2 linked regions of the Stegostoma tigrinum genome follow. The protein of the gene in region 2 interacts with the protein of the main gene of each other region in a biochemical or structural test. Links are inferred from orthologs where the notes say so. Each region holds a gene or a part of one and is shown on either strand. Other genes may lie near its edges.

Evidence for each region. The genes of interacting proteins can lie anywhere in the genome.
Region 1: of the proteins of E3 ubiquitin-protein ligase NEDD4-like (region 2) and akt1, one has a biochemical effect on the other in vitro, tested with the Homo sapiens proteins (3 studies listed by BioGRID, with this or other methods). The link is inferred for Stegostoma tigrinum from reciprocal best matches to the Homo sapiens genes NEDD4 and AKT1.

The regions. Positions count from the first base shown.
Region 1 is NC_081363.1:42,990,871-42,999,189, reverse strand, and holds the start of akt1 (RAC-alpha serine/threonine-protein kinase), read left to right. Parts: upstream 1-4,871; 5' UTR 4,872-4,978; intron 4,979-5,072; exon of another isoform or gene 5,073-5,371; intron 5,372-5,587; exon of another isoform or gene 5,588-5,645; intron 5,646-5,773; 5' UTR 5,774-5,845; coding exon 5,846-5,891; intron 5,892-8,319. UniProt on the Homo sapiens protein: AKT1 is one of 3 closely related serine/threonine-protein kinases (AKT1, AKT2 and AKT3) called the AKT kinase, and which regulate many processes including metabolism, proliferation, cell survival, growth and angiogenesis.
Region 2 is NC_081386.1:15,732,999-15,741,437, reverse strand, and holds the start of E3 ubiquitin-protein ligase NEDD4-like, read left to right. Parts: upstream 1-5,123; 5' UTR 5,124-5,216; coding exon 5,217-6,473; intron 6,474-8,439. UniProt on the Homo sapiens protein: E3 ubiquitin-protein ligase which accepts ubiquitin from an E2 ubiquitin-conjugating enzyme in the form of a thioester and then directly transfers the ubiquitin to targeted substrates. Specifically ubiquitinates 'Lys-63' in target proteins.

The DNA.
Region 1 (8,319 bases), on a different chromosome or scaffold from region 2:
AAAGTTTAAAGGCTCACAAAATTTTTGTTTGCCTTGCCTTTCAGCACAAACACAAAGGCAGACAGCTTGTTAAGGTTGTCAACAGTCATCAGTCAATTGGGTGGTATGTGCTGTGTCAGTCTCAGAACTGCACCCTGTATCAGTGCGTGCAGCGTCCAGCACACTGCATATGCTTCATACAAATGGTCATGTCTCAAAGTCTGAGGGGAGTAGTTCCCAATCAAGTCAAGGGGGACACGCATTTTGCAGGGATTCCTGGCATAGTAAGTCAAGGTCAGCCTCTGGTATCAATTCAGAGGCTTGGGTATGGTCAGTGGAACATCTGGGATGGTCATTGTCAGTGGTTCATACTTCTACAGCCTGGGGGTGAGCCACAGTCAGCCCTGTGGCTCCAGTACATCCAGTTCGGGGAGCTGTGGAACCACAGTCAGGGAGCTATCCAACTACCAGTCAGTGGGCCTGGTCACTCATTGTTCTGGCCTTCTAAGTGACTCAAGGGGGTGAGCTGTAGTCAGCCCTGGGGTCTGTTCACTAAAAGTCCCTGGGGGGTTTATCAGGGGCTTGAGCGTGGGAAGGTCGCTGGAAACTTAATTTTGTGGATTAGAGGCAGCATGCTGGGGTTCAGAGGGGATTACAATTGTGCAAGGGGATGGCAACTCATTATATAATGAGGAGGATGATATGTTGGAGGTAAGGGGGTATTACTAGAGTCATGTCATCAACAGTCAGCAACACCCTAATTTCTACGGGTGACAGTGGAGGACTAGGTCTGGCATGTTTACTTGATATGCCTGGGGATGGGGAGCAGGGACTGTGTCAAGTGGGGCAATGAAAATTCAGACAGAGTGGGAGGATACTTGGGGATGTTTGAAGACTATGGGGATTTACGAAAAGGGCTACAAGAAGGGAACATGTAATTTGCAGACTCATCTAGAGTGAGAGGCTGAGTTGACTTTCACTGGTTGAGGAATAACCACTGTTTCATTCCACTGTACTGGAAGCATCAAGTGCTGAAAATGGCTGCCACCACACCCAGAGACAGGGTAAGTGTGAGGGAAGGGTCTTCAATAAGTTTCTTCAATAAGATGCACTTTGAAGGGCAACAATACTTCACAGATACCCTTACCCTTTTGCTGAAACATATCTGCGAGCATTACGTACTATGTGAACCAAAGGCATTAAATCCTGGTCCCAAGTACTCTTGACTGCAACAGGCAACAATACAAATCAATTCCATTATTGGCTGTGATGCACAAACAATGCTTTGCAAAGTGAAAACATTCACAGTTATAGAGCCATAGAGTCACTCAGCACGGAAACAGACCCTTCAGTCCAACCAGTAGATGTTGACTGTAATCCCAACCTAAACTACTCCCACCTGCCTGCACTTGGCCTAGAGCCCTCCAAATGCTTCTTATCTAAATACTTTTTAAACATTGTAACTGTACCCACATCTGCCACTTCTTCTGGAAGTTCATTCCACGCACAAACCACTCTTTGTATCAAAAAAAACCCCCTCACATCTTTTTAAAATCTTTTTCTTCTCACCTTAAAAATATGTTGTCTACTCTTGAAAGCCTTTACCCTTGGGAAAAGACACCTGCCATTCACCTTATCTATACACATCATGATTTTATAAATCTTTATAAGGTCACCACTCAACCTCCTACGCTCCACTAAAAAAGGTCCCAGGCTATCCAGCCTCTCCTTATAACTTAAGCCCTTCATCCCCGGCAATATCTGGTAAATCATTGCCAGAGCAGCAATCACATTTCAAATTCCCAGAGCCTGTACATGAAGCTTAACACCTTGGACAAAAGGACATTGTGTAGCACTACAGATGGTTAGGCTCTGTACCTTCAGTGTCAAAGTTGTGACAGATAGACATTCGCTCACAGACCACTGGGGTGGCACAGTGGTTAGCACTGCTGCCTCACAGTGCTAGGGACCAGGGTTTGATTCCACCCCCAGGTGACTGTCTGTGTGGAGTTTGCACATTCTCCTTCTGTCTGTGTGGGGATGCTCCGGTTTCTGCCCACAGTCCAAAAGATGTGCAAGCTAGGTGAATTGGCCATGGTAAATTGCCCTTCATGTTCAGGGATGTGTAGATTAGGTGGGTTTACAGGGGAATGGGTCTGTGCAGTTTATTCCATACATGCACCCTCCTCTATATCAACAGGTTAACTCTTATGTCCCTTTTAAATCTTTTCCCTCTCACCTTAAACCTATGCCCTCTAGTTTTGGACTCTCCTGCCCTGAGAAAAAGAGCTTGGCCATTTATCTTATCTATGCCCCTCATGATTTTATAAACTTCTATAAGGTCCTGCCCCAGCCTTTGACGATCCAGGGAAAATAGCTCTAGCTTATTCAGGCTCTCCTTATAGCTCAAACATTCCATACCCAGCAACATCCTTGTAAATCTTTTCTGAATCTGTTCAAGTTTCACAACATCCCTCCTATAGCAGGGAGACCAGAATTGCACATAATAGTCCAAAAATGGCCGAACCAATGTCCTGTACAGCCACGGCATGACCTCCGGACTCCTATACTCACTGCACTGACCAGTAAAGGCAAGCATACCACATGCTTTCTTTACTATCCTGCCAGGGACTCCACTTTCAAGCAATTATGAACCTGCACTCCAAGGTCTCTTTGTTTGGCAGCAATTCCTAGGACGTTACTATTAAGTGTATAAGTCCTGCCTTGGTTTGCCTTTCCAAAATGCAGCACCTCACATTTACCTAAATTAAACTCCATCAGCAACTCCTCAGCCCATATGCCCATCTGACCAAGGTCTTATCGTGCTCCAAGGTAACCTTCTTTGGTTTCCACTACACCTTCAATTTTGGTGTCATTTCCAAAATTACTAACTGCACCTCCTATGTTCACATCCAAATCATTTATATAAATGACAGCACCGATCCTTGTGGCACACTGCTGGTCACAGGCCTCCAGTTTGAAAAGGAACCTTCCACCACCATCCTCCATAATTTTAAGAATATATTTACAATAAAGTGTCACCCATTGCTAACTAAGTGCCCGCAGAAGCTCATTTTCTTCCTTTCCTCCCAGTCTGTCTCAGTGAAATTCTAGGTGCCTCAACATTGATGGAGGCAGCTTGCCCCATTATGGAGTTAAATGGACTGGGAGTTTTGGTTGGGTGATACCGGATGCATTTGTGCCTATAGGGTCCAGATGCGCTGCGTGTCTCTTGCCCAGAGTCATCTCCGCAGCTTGACCTTCCAGAGGGCTAAAGGTGAAAAGCAGGGAAGGGGGTTGAAAGCCTAGTCAACTCTGCAGTATCCTGAGAGATGTCTTGGGGGAATATATACGATTCCTCCTCTGGCTGGGTGTCTACCAGCACTGCCCTGTGTGCTGGTGAGGAAGGGATGAGTCAGAGTCCATTGAGACAGTTGGCACCCCTGGCATTCTCTGAAGTGTTCTTGGAAACAGCCAGACAATCATAGACCTAAGGCTGCAAGGTACCTGTAGCATTTCTGGAATCCTGCAACCTTTCTTTCATGTTGCCCGGTGTTCCTGACAAACGTACCTGTTGCTCCTGTGTTTGTCTCAGCATTAACTCCCTTGTTGCCAACATCAATGGGCTCCTCCCCTGGGTAGTGTGGGCAGGTGCCTGTTCTCCAATGCCAATGACCTGGGGCATTTCTCAGTCAGCTGCACAGACCTAGGAGTGACATGCTCATCAGCAGATACTCCCACATCTAGTTGAAGCATTCACTGAGGGGGCAGTACCTGAACTAGTGGATAGGTACATGAGGCTGCCTTGCTGGTATATCCTCTGAGGCAACATGCTACTTTGCTCAGAGATGTGAGGAATGTTGACTATGGAGACCATGCTATTGCTGTTTATATCTGCAGGATAGAAAGGAGACAATGCATTGTGAACAAGGAGTAAAATTTCTAATGTGTTGCAAAGTCATTCACAGTGATGTAATGTAGGAGTAGCACAGGAATAGAGATTGCTTTGTATAGAAGACAGCGAGAAAAGTTACCTCAGCGTACGACTGGATCTTGATCAGATGGGCCAATGGGCTTAGGAGTGACAAATGGAGTTTAATTTAGATAAATGTGAGTTGCTGCATTTTGGAAAGGCAAATCTGCGGAGGACTTATACACTTAATGGCAAGATCCTGAGGACTGTTGCTGAACAGCAAGCCTTGGAGAGCAATTTCATAATTCTTTTAAAATACATTCATCACAGGTGGGCAGGATGATGAAGAAGGCATTTGGTATGCTTGTCTTTATTGGTCAGTGCATTGAGTATAGGAGTGGGAGGTTATGTTGCAACTGTACAGCACATTGGTTAGGCCACTTTTGGAATACTGTGTGCAATTCCAGTCTCTCCTTCTGCATTGTTAGGTGTTTCTCCAAACTCTGGAGTCCACTGATCCAGGTGGCAACCTTATAGGCAGGTAGGGTCTGGTTCCAAGATCACCTCTACCAGGCTGGGGTTGGAGGACGGCCCTCCTCAGCAGCATGCTATCGACTAAAGCTTCCAGGTCCCCTGGTCTACAAAGTGAGGTAGCAATTTTCCATTACCTGCATCATCCGGGGCAAATATCATTGATTACACAGGGCAGCACTGGACTGCCAGCTCTAGATAGGATGCACAATGAGCCGGTGCCAGTAGTCCTGGGACCAATGCTTCTGCTTACTGTGAATTGGCTAGCACTGGCTGTCATGGGCATGGTACCTGGTCAGTGAGTAAGTTTGGGATTGACAGACCTCTCTGGGAGAAACCCTCCATGAAATTTGACAAAATTTCCACAACACAGTCCTTTTACTTAAAAAAAATCTTCAATCTAATCCCACCTGCCAATGGAAACAATGATTTTGTTGACTATCCACCACAATAGTTTGCCCCTGTTATTGACTGTTCTCTGCTGGTCGAGGGGTTAGTCTGAAAAATGGCTGTCCGAGTCGTTGATCTGCTCAGTGTCACGTGCAATAGTAGCAGGTTAGTTAATTTTTGAGCCCAAGCAGTTCTTATCTCATCAGTTTCTGTGAATTGTCTGCTGTCAGTTATGATAGTTACTTTAATGCTAGTAGTGAGTCTCAGTCGTTACTTTCTTCACTGCTGTTAATTGCCGGAGTCGTTGAATTTGTTGCGGAACCTACCGATTATTGTATTTACTGCTTGTTAAGGATGTAGAGCTCGCCTGGGCGTTGTGTAGCCCCCGTACTGACGTGCTGGGGAGACTAAGCCAGCCTAACGTCACCCATTCTCGCACAAGGAAGAAGCTATCACACCGTTTACTGCAGTTCAGCGCCTTGCGAACCTTAGTTATGATCCGGAGCTAAACATAGGGGCAATACAAAGAGGTCGGGAGCCGGACCCGACTAGCTGCAGGTAGGAAAGCAAGCCTCAGGGTAAACCTTTCACTGAGGACGGTCCCAGCGCCTACAGGCCTGCCTCAGCTTTAGGCCTGTTCCCATTTGCCTGTCCGGAGATGTTAGACTGGTCTGCCCCCTGCCCTGGGCTTCCCTCCCGGCCAGCCGCCTCAGGAGCCGGGGAAGCCGCTTGTCCTGCGGCTGTGCCCGGGGAACAGGATGCTAGCTGCCGATGCTCCGCCAAGCGCGTTACGTTCTCTGCCATTCATTAAAATCAGTTCAGAGTCTGGACCGTAAGTTCATAATGGCCTGGAAATCACTGACTTGTACGTGAACGCCCACCTTGTCCTAACCCACGCAAGCTTGCTAACTGATATAATTACCTGCTACTTACCCTTGCTTTTTTCTCCCTTTAACACAGGTTGCTGTGAAGAATAAAGGGTTTCAATCAGGAACCTTCGAGTCAACTTACTTTTAAATCTTTTGTATCACTATGACTGAAGGTACAATCGTGAAAGAGGGGTGGCTTCACAAAAGAGGTAAGATTTTGTAATTGATTCCAGTGGAAGTACACAACACTCTTCTTTCCACGTGTTTAAACAGACATTTTACTATTGTCTAGTTTTAACAAGCAGAGTTGGTAAACAACTGTATTCCTATCAAAGTTTGCAAGAGAGCATCTTGATTTGATATAATTTGCTACAGTAACCCTATTTGATCTTATGGTATCGGTTAAGGGTTTTCTTCTGTAATGTCAGAAGCACTGTCCATAAGGTGCATTTTTTGAATTGTATTATTGATTATGTTTGGTGAAAATGGTAACAAATATAGGCACTTAAAATGTTGAATTGTGAATTAAAACCTCCTTGCTGCATTTACAGTATTTAACACAATAATACTACTGTCAATATTAATAAATAATTTTATTGTACAAAACACTATCTTGCAATAATTTTCACATGCCAATACTATCTAAGTCCCCAGTTATGGTATAGACCTTGAGTGCAGTCTGAATAGGAGGTTCTAACATAAGTACAAATACTGGAATTGAGCTTTTGTGCAATGATGGATGTGGTTTACTCTCCACTTCCTGACATGAATGAATGCCTTTTGAATGATGAAGACATGTCATTTGCCACTCCAGCAATTTCACCACATTTTTACGGTGGAAAAACTGACTCCATTGAGTTCAAAAACTGACATATAGACTCTTTAATCGCGCATTGAAAAAGTTCTATGTTTACTTTGTCAAGAGTACTTGTAATAAAATATTATTGATATGCAACTGATTACTTTTATTATATCACTTGGAGGAGAGTATTGCATTGTGAAATGCTGTCATCGCAATTAATTTCATGGGAGGTATGTCCTTATAACAAATGCCGCACAGTGTATGAAAAGATTCAAGCACATTTATACATTACAAGATAGGATATCTGATATACACATCATAATATTACCAAGATGTGTATATGTATTTTGAGGAAATGTTTTTAGATATATATGTCACTTTGTTAGAATGGCATATTACTTTTTACTTTTATACAGTGCTGCTTAATTTGTGGCAACTGCTATACAATATAACCAGTTGAAGCATAAACTGATGAAAACTATTACTCAATATTAGATAGTAGATGTTTGTGTAGTAATATTTGGGAAAAAAATAGAAATACAAACTTCATATTTAATCAAAATTGTAGTGATAGTGGGCATAAAAACATTTTATCTAGGATAAGTAATGTTGAGTGTGTCCCATTTAATGTAATGGTTTATTTGATACATTTCTTGAAATTAATTTCAATCAAAATATTAACCTTTGAGATTTTAGTATAAATGGGTTCATTTAACTGGTAGGTTAAAAAAGAATTTCTGACATCTATAATTACATAAAATAGTTGAACGATTGGACTTTATGCGATGATTTTATTCTGACAATTTTCAGAGAGTAAATTGTCCATAAAAATGTGAGTTTAACATTTCATAGCCTTCATTTTCCAGGTTTGTTAATTTTTATAAATATTGTTGTGTATAATGAAGTGGTTTTCACAACATTTAACATTCTAAAAGAAAACTTTTCTGATTGTGCTCTGAAGACATAAAACGTAATTCAGAAATAAGAATCTCACAGTACGATAACAACTTGCACTTAAATATCACCTGGAGGAACACTGCAGGCCAGGCAGCATCAGAGACAAGAACGGTCCCGACCCGAAACATCAGCTTTCCTGCTCCTCTGATGCTGTCTGGCCTGCTGTGTTCCTCCAGCTTCACATTGTGCTATCTCTGACTCCAGCATCGTCAGTTCTTACTATCTCTGAGTGACTTATATATCACCTGTGTTGAATAAAATGTTCCAAATTACTTCATTGGAGCATGATCAGAAGAAACTTGCCACCGAAACTGGTAAAAAGAGTTTAGGAGGTTTGATCAGTTACTTTGCGAAGAGATAGATTTTAAGGGAGGACTTAAAGGACATTTGGAGGAGAGGTGAAGCAATTTGCAGGCATATGAAAAGAAGCAGAAGTAGACTACCTGGCTGCACAAACCTGCACTGCTATTCAGTAAGGTAACAGCTGATGTCTTTGTATTTTAAATGTTACATTCCAACCTACTTTCAATAACCTTTGATTCCCTTGTCTAGCAAGAATCTATCTCCGTCTGCCTTAAAAATACATTGTGACCCTACCTTTGTTGCCTTCTGAGCTAGAAAGCTCTAAAATTGCATGATCATTTCATAGGAAAATAGTCTTCCCGTTTCCGTCCAATAGGGGAAATCCCCTAATTTTGAACATATGCATAAGAGGAAACAGCCTTTGCACATGACTTTGCCAAGACCATTCAGGATCCTGGACGCTTCAATCAAGTCCCTCCTCACTCCGCAAACCTCCAGTGTAAACAAACCCAGCCTGCCTAATCCATCCACATAAAATAAGCCACTGATTCCATGTCTCACTCTAGTAAACCTCC
Region 2 (8,439 bases):
GGTAATGCTATCTTGAAAAGTTCCATGATTGATTACCTGCCTGGGAACGTTAGAGTGTGCATTTAAATTCTGTTAAATTACAACTTGGGTAGCATAGAATGAAAAACTCCTGTGTCCTTTCTAATGAGCATATTTTTATATCTTATGTCTTTTTCTAGGTTCAACCAAGGCAGCATCGAATTCTTTTTGAAGTGTTTGATGAAAACCGTTTGGTGAGTATGATGAAATTGCCACCTTGAGGATAAACCTAACTCTTATTTTCATTTGCAGCTTCTGAATGTGCAGGAGGGATGTCGCTGTTTCACCTTTGCATAGTATGTTCTGATTAAGCTAGTAATTGCATCCCAAGTTCTGTAGGCATACTGTATTACTGACTCAACGTATAAGATTAATTTAAATGTCTAAGTATCATGGTGTTTTGTTTTGGTTTGGGACAAGGGCAGGCATCACTGGCTACGCTGTTGTTGATTGCCTATTTCTCACTGTTCTGGAAAAGCTGGTAGTGAGCTACTTTCCCAAACTACAAGAGACCTCGGGGTGTAGGTACACCCACAGTGATGTTGGGAAGAGAGTTCGAGAATTTTGACCCAATGATGGTGAAGTAAAGGCAAGTCAGATGGCATTTTCTTTGAAGGGGATCTTGCAGGTGCTGATATTCCTGTTTTTTGCTGTCCTTCTCCTCCTCGGTGGTAGAGGTTATGGGTTTGTAAGGTGCTGTTGAAGAAGCCTCTAAGTTACTGCCGTGTGCAGAAATGCTGCCATCGTGTGTCAGTGGTAGAGGAAGTGAAGGTTGAAGGTGATGCACGGTTTCTTTAGTAGTGTTGGAGTTGCACTGATCCAAGCAAGTGGAGAGTATTTCATCTCACATGTGCTGGTGGATTGTGGACAGGTGCTGGGGTTGGAGGCTGTCTGTTACTCACTATTAACTATCCTCTAACTTTCTCTTATAGTCACAGTATTTACGTGGCCCCTGACCTGCTTTAGTAGCCACACTCTCTATATGACTATTCCAGTTCAGTTCCTGGTTATTGGTAATCAACAGGAGGTTGATTGTGGGGTATTCAGTAATGATAAACCATTGAATGTTAGGGGGCAATGATTAGATTTTCTCTTGATAGCGATGATTATTGACTGATGCTTCTGTGGCATAAATATCAGTTGCCATGTATTAGTCAAAGCCTGGATGTTGCTGCATATGGATCCAGAATGTTTCAGTAACAAAAATAGAGATGGCTGGAAAAGCTCAGCAAGTCTGGCAGCATCTGTGGAGAGAAATCAGAGTTAAATGTTTCGAGCCAAATGACCCATCCTCAGAACTAAGGTGATTTAAAGCATCTGTAGTCCTTTCAATTTTTATTCAAAATATTTCAGTATCTGAAGAATCATAAACCACTACCTCTAATCTTATGACGGAGAGTCATTGATGAGGAAGCTGAAGATGTTTAGGCCTAGGACACTACCTTACAGAACTCCTGCAGTGATATACTTGAGCCGAGGTGATTGACCTCCAACAACCACAACCATTTTCCTTTTGTGCTAGGTATGACTCTACGAGTGAAGTGTATTTTCCCAATTCCCAATGACTTCAGGTTTATGAGCGTTCTTTGGTGTCACACTTGGCCAAATGCTACCTTGACATCTAGGATAGTCATGTGACTTCATCTCTGGGGTTTAGCTGCTTTGAGGGCATTGAAGAATGAACCTCGTTGTTGTGGGTCTGGAACCACATGTAGGCCAGACTGGGTGAAACAGCTGATTACCTTTCCTAAAGGACATTGGTGAACCAGATGGCTTTTTACAACAACCAAGAATGGTTACATGGTTTCCATTAGATTAATTCTTAATTCAATATGTTGTTAAATTCAGATTTCTTCTTCCAAGGTGGGATTTGAACCTATAAGCCTGGGCACGGATTACAACCTGAGTGCATTACTATCATGCCTCTCAGTCATTTTACTCCAAGCTTGAGTCATGGCACTTGGCCTAAAGAAAATGCATGCCATTGCAGTGTATGGCTTAGTACAGTGTATTTTTTTTAAGTAAGCAATGAAAATTCATTAAATATGTTTTCTGAGTGTGGTGTCCATTGGCTGTTCATTTCCTGAGATAACAAGGATGCTGTCGTCCTATACCAGGCCTGTGACACATTGCTAAGTAGGGTGCAGAATTTGGCTGGAGACTTACCCTTGAGTCTTCCTTGACATCCTGTGAGGATGTGTCCTGCATCCACTTGGTTTCCTCACAGTGGGAAACACTGCAGGCAGTCCACAAATTGACATTGCCATGCATTGCTCAGCTTGACAACAGAGCTGATTCTCCAATGTGCTGCGATGACGTTTTTTGTAAGTTTTAACTTTCCTCCTGTGCAGTCATAGACTAATGCAATAAAGAAGGAGGCCATTTGACCTATCACTTCTATGCCAGTCCTTATGAGGAGCAATCCAGTTCATTCCACTTCCAAACTTTTCCCCTGAAACCCTGTAATCACTTCTCTTCAAAAAATGTATGCAATTTCTTTTTGCGAACCGCTATTGGATTTGTCTCCACCATCCTGTCACATTTTTGGAGTGCCGTAAGCTGCAGATCCCAATACCTGTGCTCACATCAGCACTCCTCAAGCAGCCACACTTTTTCAGGGCATTTCATTAACATTGCTAGTCCCTCTCCCGACTCACCCAGAGCTCTGGAATAACTGCTCGCCATTTGCTTCTTTTTCCCGTCAGCCCACCTTGTACTGTGTTCAGTTAGACAATAAGCACTTTCTCTTGGAGACTGGATTCTGTGGTCTGTCTAGCTACGACCCCGTACGTATATTGTTGGAAGGACAAGTCTCATAAAATTGTTTTTGAGTTGAGTCAATTCACAGAAACTCCAGTCCATAAGCATGTTCTGTGCGTACAATTCTTTTACCGTTGACGTTTGTCCATTTCTAGAATTTCTATTGATATTATATTACTGTTGTTCAGGTGTGTGCTTTCAAAATGATGGTATTTAACAGGGTTTAAGTTTTTGTTCCCCATATGAGAAGCTTGGTATTTTTTTTCAAAGCAGACATTCTAGCATGTGAAGAGGCATAGGTTGTTATTAGTAATACAGAATGCAGAATGAAGAGTGATACAGTGGAATGGCTGTGAATATTCCAGTTCAGTGCAATGTTGAAAAAGCTGAGCTGGTCTGTAGCAAAAATTCCTATGCATCTGGCTGTCTGGAACTTTATTTAGCGGAAAAAAAGTCTTGGACTTGAAAAGCATGATACAGATTTTTTTTTCTACAAAGAGAGCATTGTTCTATCCAGATGCATTTTTTTATAGAAATGTTCTTGCTATTAAAAAAAAAGGAGTTTGACCAAGCAGTTATTCTGTACAAAGAAACTACCTATGCCCCTAGTGCAAGCTGTTTAGTTAAGTTAGCTATTTTGTTTGTTTTTTGACTAAGTGCAAATTGAAATGCTCAAAGGGCCATTTTTACTTTTAATTGCAGTTCAGAATAACTTTCTCACTTCTGTGCAGTGGTAGAAAATTTTTGTAAAAGGCATCTGTTAAAATGCCAACAGAAAATGGGGCAGTTGTTACAGCTTTTGATTATAAGCAGTACATTTTTCCATTGTGCAGCCACTTTTATCCCTAAGGGCATTAAGATGGCCATCATACAGTTATTAAACACTTGCTGTTTGATTTGTAGAAAAATGTTGCACATTTTATTTCATCAGTCCTGCTGAATGAGCCACTATTCCTGCATAGCAACTTGCAAACTGTTGAGTGGTGAGTTAATAAAGTATTATGTTCAGGTTTTACCTGGAATGTGTGAAGTGGCTAGTCATGTTGTGTCATGGCTCCACACATTAAAATGTCAAACAACTTTGTCTTACAAGGCTTGGAACTTAAAATCTTTTGTGACTTCACTCAAAGGAAATTTTCTCTCTCTTGTAAAGTGTATGCAGTGTCATAGTCCTAGATATTGGTGCAAAACTCCCACATCGAGGAACAATTTCTGATGTGTTAAGATTGTACCTTTTTTACATGGTTACAAGACGAAGGAGAAAGTATTTGAAAAATGCTTTCTTGTAAAAATTAATTATATTCAGTGCTTTTGAATCTGTACATCTGATCGGAAAGCCACAGGAAGAAAAGAATGTAACTCCTTTGGCACGGTCATGAGTTTCAAATGTCAGAATGTGGCATTTCTGTGTATGAAGAGAGAGGTTTTTCCTACTTAGCCACACTGAACAGTCTTAACAAGCGCTAGCAGCCCGGTACCAGCAGGATTTCAGTCCAGTGGGAGTCTAATAATAGTTCTGTTTTTGTTTCTTTTTAAACAAGGATTTGCTTCTTTTAAATCGTTGCCTCTTTTAGATGGTTGGATTTCAATGTGTTCAGCTAAAGCCGAACTGAGAGCGTGAGTTCAGAACTACTATCTGCAAAAAAAAAGCCAATCTTTATCACATTGAGGAACTGATGAAGGCAAATTGTATTCAATTGTAAATGCAAAACTGCGGAGTGCTCTTGCAGTTATTAGCAGTAGCTTCCTGTCTATTTCCCATATCCTGGAGGTTTAACATTGTGGGTAATACTCAGAAAACCTTTTGATTCTGAATTATGCTGGATGTTGCTCTTTAAAATTTCCTGTAATGCAATACTATGAGGTAAAAATACGGTGTTGGTTCAGTGTAGGAGAAACATTTGAAGCTCCAGTGCCTAAAGCAGTGCCACATATTTAGCTTGCTTGCTGGGGACGAGATGTAATATATGAAACCGAAATGCAAGAAGATGTTGATTTTGGGTTGGATTCAGTCACTCATGGAAGTAAAGGAGATTTAATTGAAGCAAGGTTGGCCAGAATTCAAACAGTGTGCAGCAGCTGAGCTTCTTGTAAAGGTTGCTGAGTTTTCAGTGCTGTGGAAGAGAGTCTGCCTTCATTTCTCACCGTTAAGAGACATTCATGGCTATTCAGAATTGCGGGAGGTATTCCTGCAATTATGATTTTTGCTGCTGGACATTTCTAACTTCCCAGGCTTAATAGCCATAGTGCAGTAATGACTGGAATGCTGCTTGTCACTTCAGCTATTTCTGCTTATCTACAGCTCCTGATGGTGACCGTATCGCAAGTGGCAGTGCTTGCTATGATTGCTTTAAGTGTTCTCTGCAGAATGTGAGTTTTTAACTAGCTCAGATTCATTCCAACCTAGGACCACATTTGTTGTATTTCAAAAGGGAAGAATGGCCCGTCGTTTGCGACTGCATTTTGCAACCAGGAGGAGCAACACTGACCCACTGTCTGAAACTTCGGGAGAAGGCTTGGAGAGTAACATTTGTATGACAGTTGAGACTGTACCAGTACATGTGAGAAAGAATGTTCACCAAGTGACTGCACTTGAACCTGTGGCAGCGCAGACAGTAGCACAGGATGAACGTATCCTACAGCGCAGTTCTTCATTGTTTATACCACAGGTCAGCAACAGTGATCATCACCGCAAAAAGAGCTCTACCTTGCAAATATCACTGCAGTCCAAACAATCCAGAGGACAGTGTGAATCTAGTACTCGTTGCAATGGCAGAGAGGGTGGTTTGTGCAATGCCGGTATTTCTTTTGACCAAGAGCTTTTAGAACGTGCGATGGAGTCCACCAAAGCATCAGTGAAGTTGAGAAAACCGAAGGTTCCATTGAGGCGTTGTTCATCATTGGTGATATTTCCTCAGAGTCCGTGTAGTACTCCGCCAGCTACACCAACAAGCCCAGATCCATTTACAAGTGCAAGTAGCAATCCCACATTAAACAGATTTCTTCCTTGCCCTCATGAACCAAAGCAAGATGAAGATCAGGCTGTGTCTAAATCCAAAGAAGCAAGCACATGTTTTGTTGCAACAGCAGTTAATGGGCTGCGTTTGTCTAACCCAGTTTGTCCTTCTTCGGAAGTTAGAGACATTAAGTCGCTTCATTGTAACGGACAGCAACCTGGCAAAAATCGAGCAATAGATTACGGCGAGGAAGAAGCAGAGTATTGGGGAAAAGTGAAGAAACCGCACAGACCTTCAAATCACGTTCTGCATTTCAACTACCAAAGAGCTCATGTATTTGGAACAGAGCCCAAGGAAGGACAAATTCACCCTGAATCATTTGTGAAGGAGTTTAAGCAGAGCTCTTTAAATACTGGACATGCGCATCATCCTATTAAGTTAATAAGGAGCACCTCTGTATGTTTACCTTCGTTCAAACATTCAGACTGCCAACTTAATATTAATGGTGTGGTAGAAAGGGAAATTATAAATGAACAAAACAAGCGTCCGATCTTTCAAAGGAGCCATTCACTTGAAGTTCCCTGTCAGCTGGTTTCCAGTTATCATTCAAAACCTAAACATTGTTGTTCAAGGGTTGGGATCCCTCATTTACAAATCCACGTAGCTCCTAGATCAGAGCAAAAGACGTTCAGTTCTGAGGAGGAAATGACTGGAGCTGTTTGGGGACGAAAGTGCAAGGTAAGCTAATTCTCCCCTGCCTCAAAGGCTTCAAATTAAAAATCAGCTTATCTATTTTACTCCCACTTTTAGTACAAATTGTGGGCAGTGTCTGTAGAATTTAGTGATAGTTTTGTTAAACAGGGTGATTGCTGTGCTAGAAAATGTAGGAAGTCCTAAAATTAAATTTTCTAGCATTTTTAATTGTTTCAAAATTTGCCAGTGATGATTGCAGACAGCTGTGCCCTAGTGTTGATTTACACTTGAGTTTCTAATTACAGACAATTTTAATGATTTACTGATCTATTTAGTGATACTGCTCAGATCTGTAGCTATGGACTGAGTCTAAAGAATATGTGAAACGTGTTGTATATTCTATAGATATTCTCAATATGAAATTTGTTTTCTGGCCAAAGAGCACCATTTATAGGCGGTTGTTAATGCTGAGGAAATTTTCTTGTCTTTTTTAACTTCTGTGTTCAATGTTTTTACTGGTTTCCTGTAGTGAAAGTGATTCAGTTTAGGTAGACATCTCTACAAAAGTAAGTGTTCTAGGCAAGCACTTGCATGCAAAACAATTTTGCTCACTTGATCTGTACAATCTGTCAGAGGTTGTTATTGACATAATTCATAAAATTTGAAATCAAGTATCACATGTTTTACTGCTAATAAATTACATTTTTGGATGAGAAGTTATTTATCCAGTAAAACACGTGAATTTAAAATGTTCAGATTTTGCCACTTGCAGATTAATTTACTTGAAAGCAGATTGGCTAAATCTTTGTAACATTAATAATATACTTCAGCTAAGAACATCACCTATCAATCTTTTTGATTTGGGCCATAATTGCACTTGAAACTGCAAAAAATGCTTAATGTCACATTGTAAATTTCCCTTGGTTTTTAAGTTAGAAAGGGGTATCCTTTCCTAGTTAGCTTTGGGCATCCAAATTTGTTTCCTGTGGTTTAAAATAGCTGTAAGATTAACAAATGATTTCCCTTTGTGTGCCTCAGGTGTCTGCTCCTAACCTCGTGAAGCTCAATTTTATTTAAAATGTGTTACTTACGTTACTCAAAATTGTTAGAATTGAAGTAGAAGTAAAAGTCAGTTACACATGGTTGTGTTTTGTGTAAAAGCGAGTCTGTATTTCCAGATGGTAACTGTATTAGCTAGTTAAATGTGTTTAGATTTATTTTAATTCTCCACTTTAATTTCCACATTGATGCAATGAGTGCGCATGTGTTGACTGCAGTTGGAAAGGAATTATTCGGATTGTTGAAATACACAGACAGCTAAGTTATCCATTTGTTTTATAAACTGAATCAAAGCTTGGTTGCCTAAACATAGCAGAGTGTAAACCTGATTTAAATATATTGCGCCAAGAATATTTCATCAGACTCCAGATAGTCTGGCCTGGAATACTGTTATGGAAGGTCTGAGTTCAAATATAACAACCTGATATTAGAGTAGTGGTGGTCACTGCAGCCATCTGTACACAGCAGACATGAAATTGGATCAGACCATGGTTGAGTTCTGTTGTGCTTGCAGACGTGAAAGGTCCACATGTTCCTCTTTCACTTGGGCACTGGACTTCAGCAACAAGGTGTCAGATATCCCACTATCTATAATTAACAGCTTGTTAAAGGGAACTTTTCTAAATCCATGCAGAAAGATTTGACTTCAACTTTGTGATAAATCTGTTGCACTTGAATCCTGTACTTATCTGAATCTTAGTTATCATTTCTACATTAATAACATTAAACTGGAGGAAAATTAAAAGAATCATCCTCAGCAAGGTTAGCAGTTATCATTGCAGAGTTGAACTGTTTGAGGGTTGCCAGCAATTTTCCTTATTTAATCCATGCAGATAACTTACTGCTATCATCTTCAGGGAGCATCTACCCCATCAAATCACCTTGTGAAATTCCTGTCCTAAGTAATCAAATGGTACCTTTTTACACTTATTCCCACCATGCTATGGTTTTA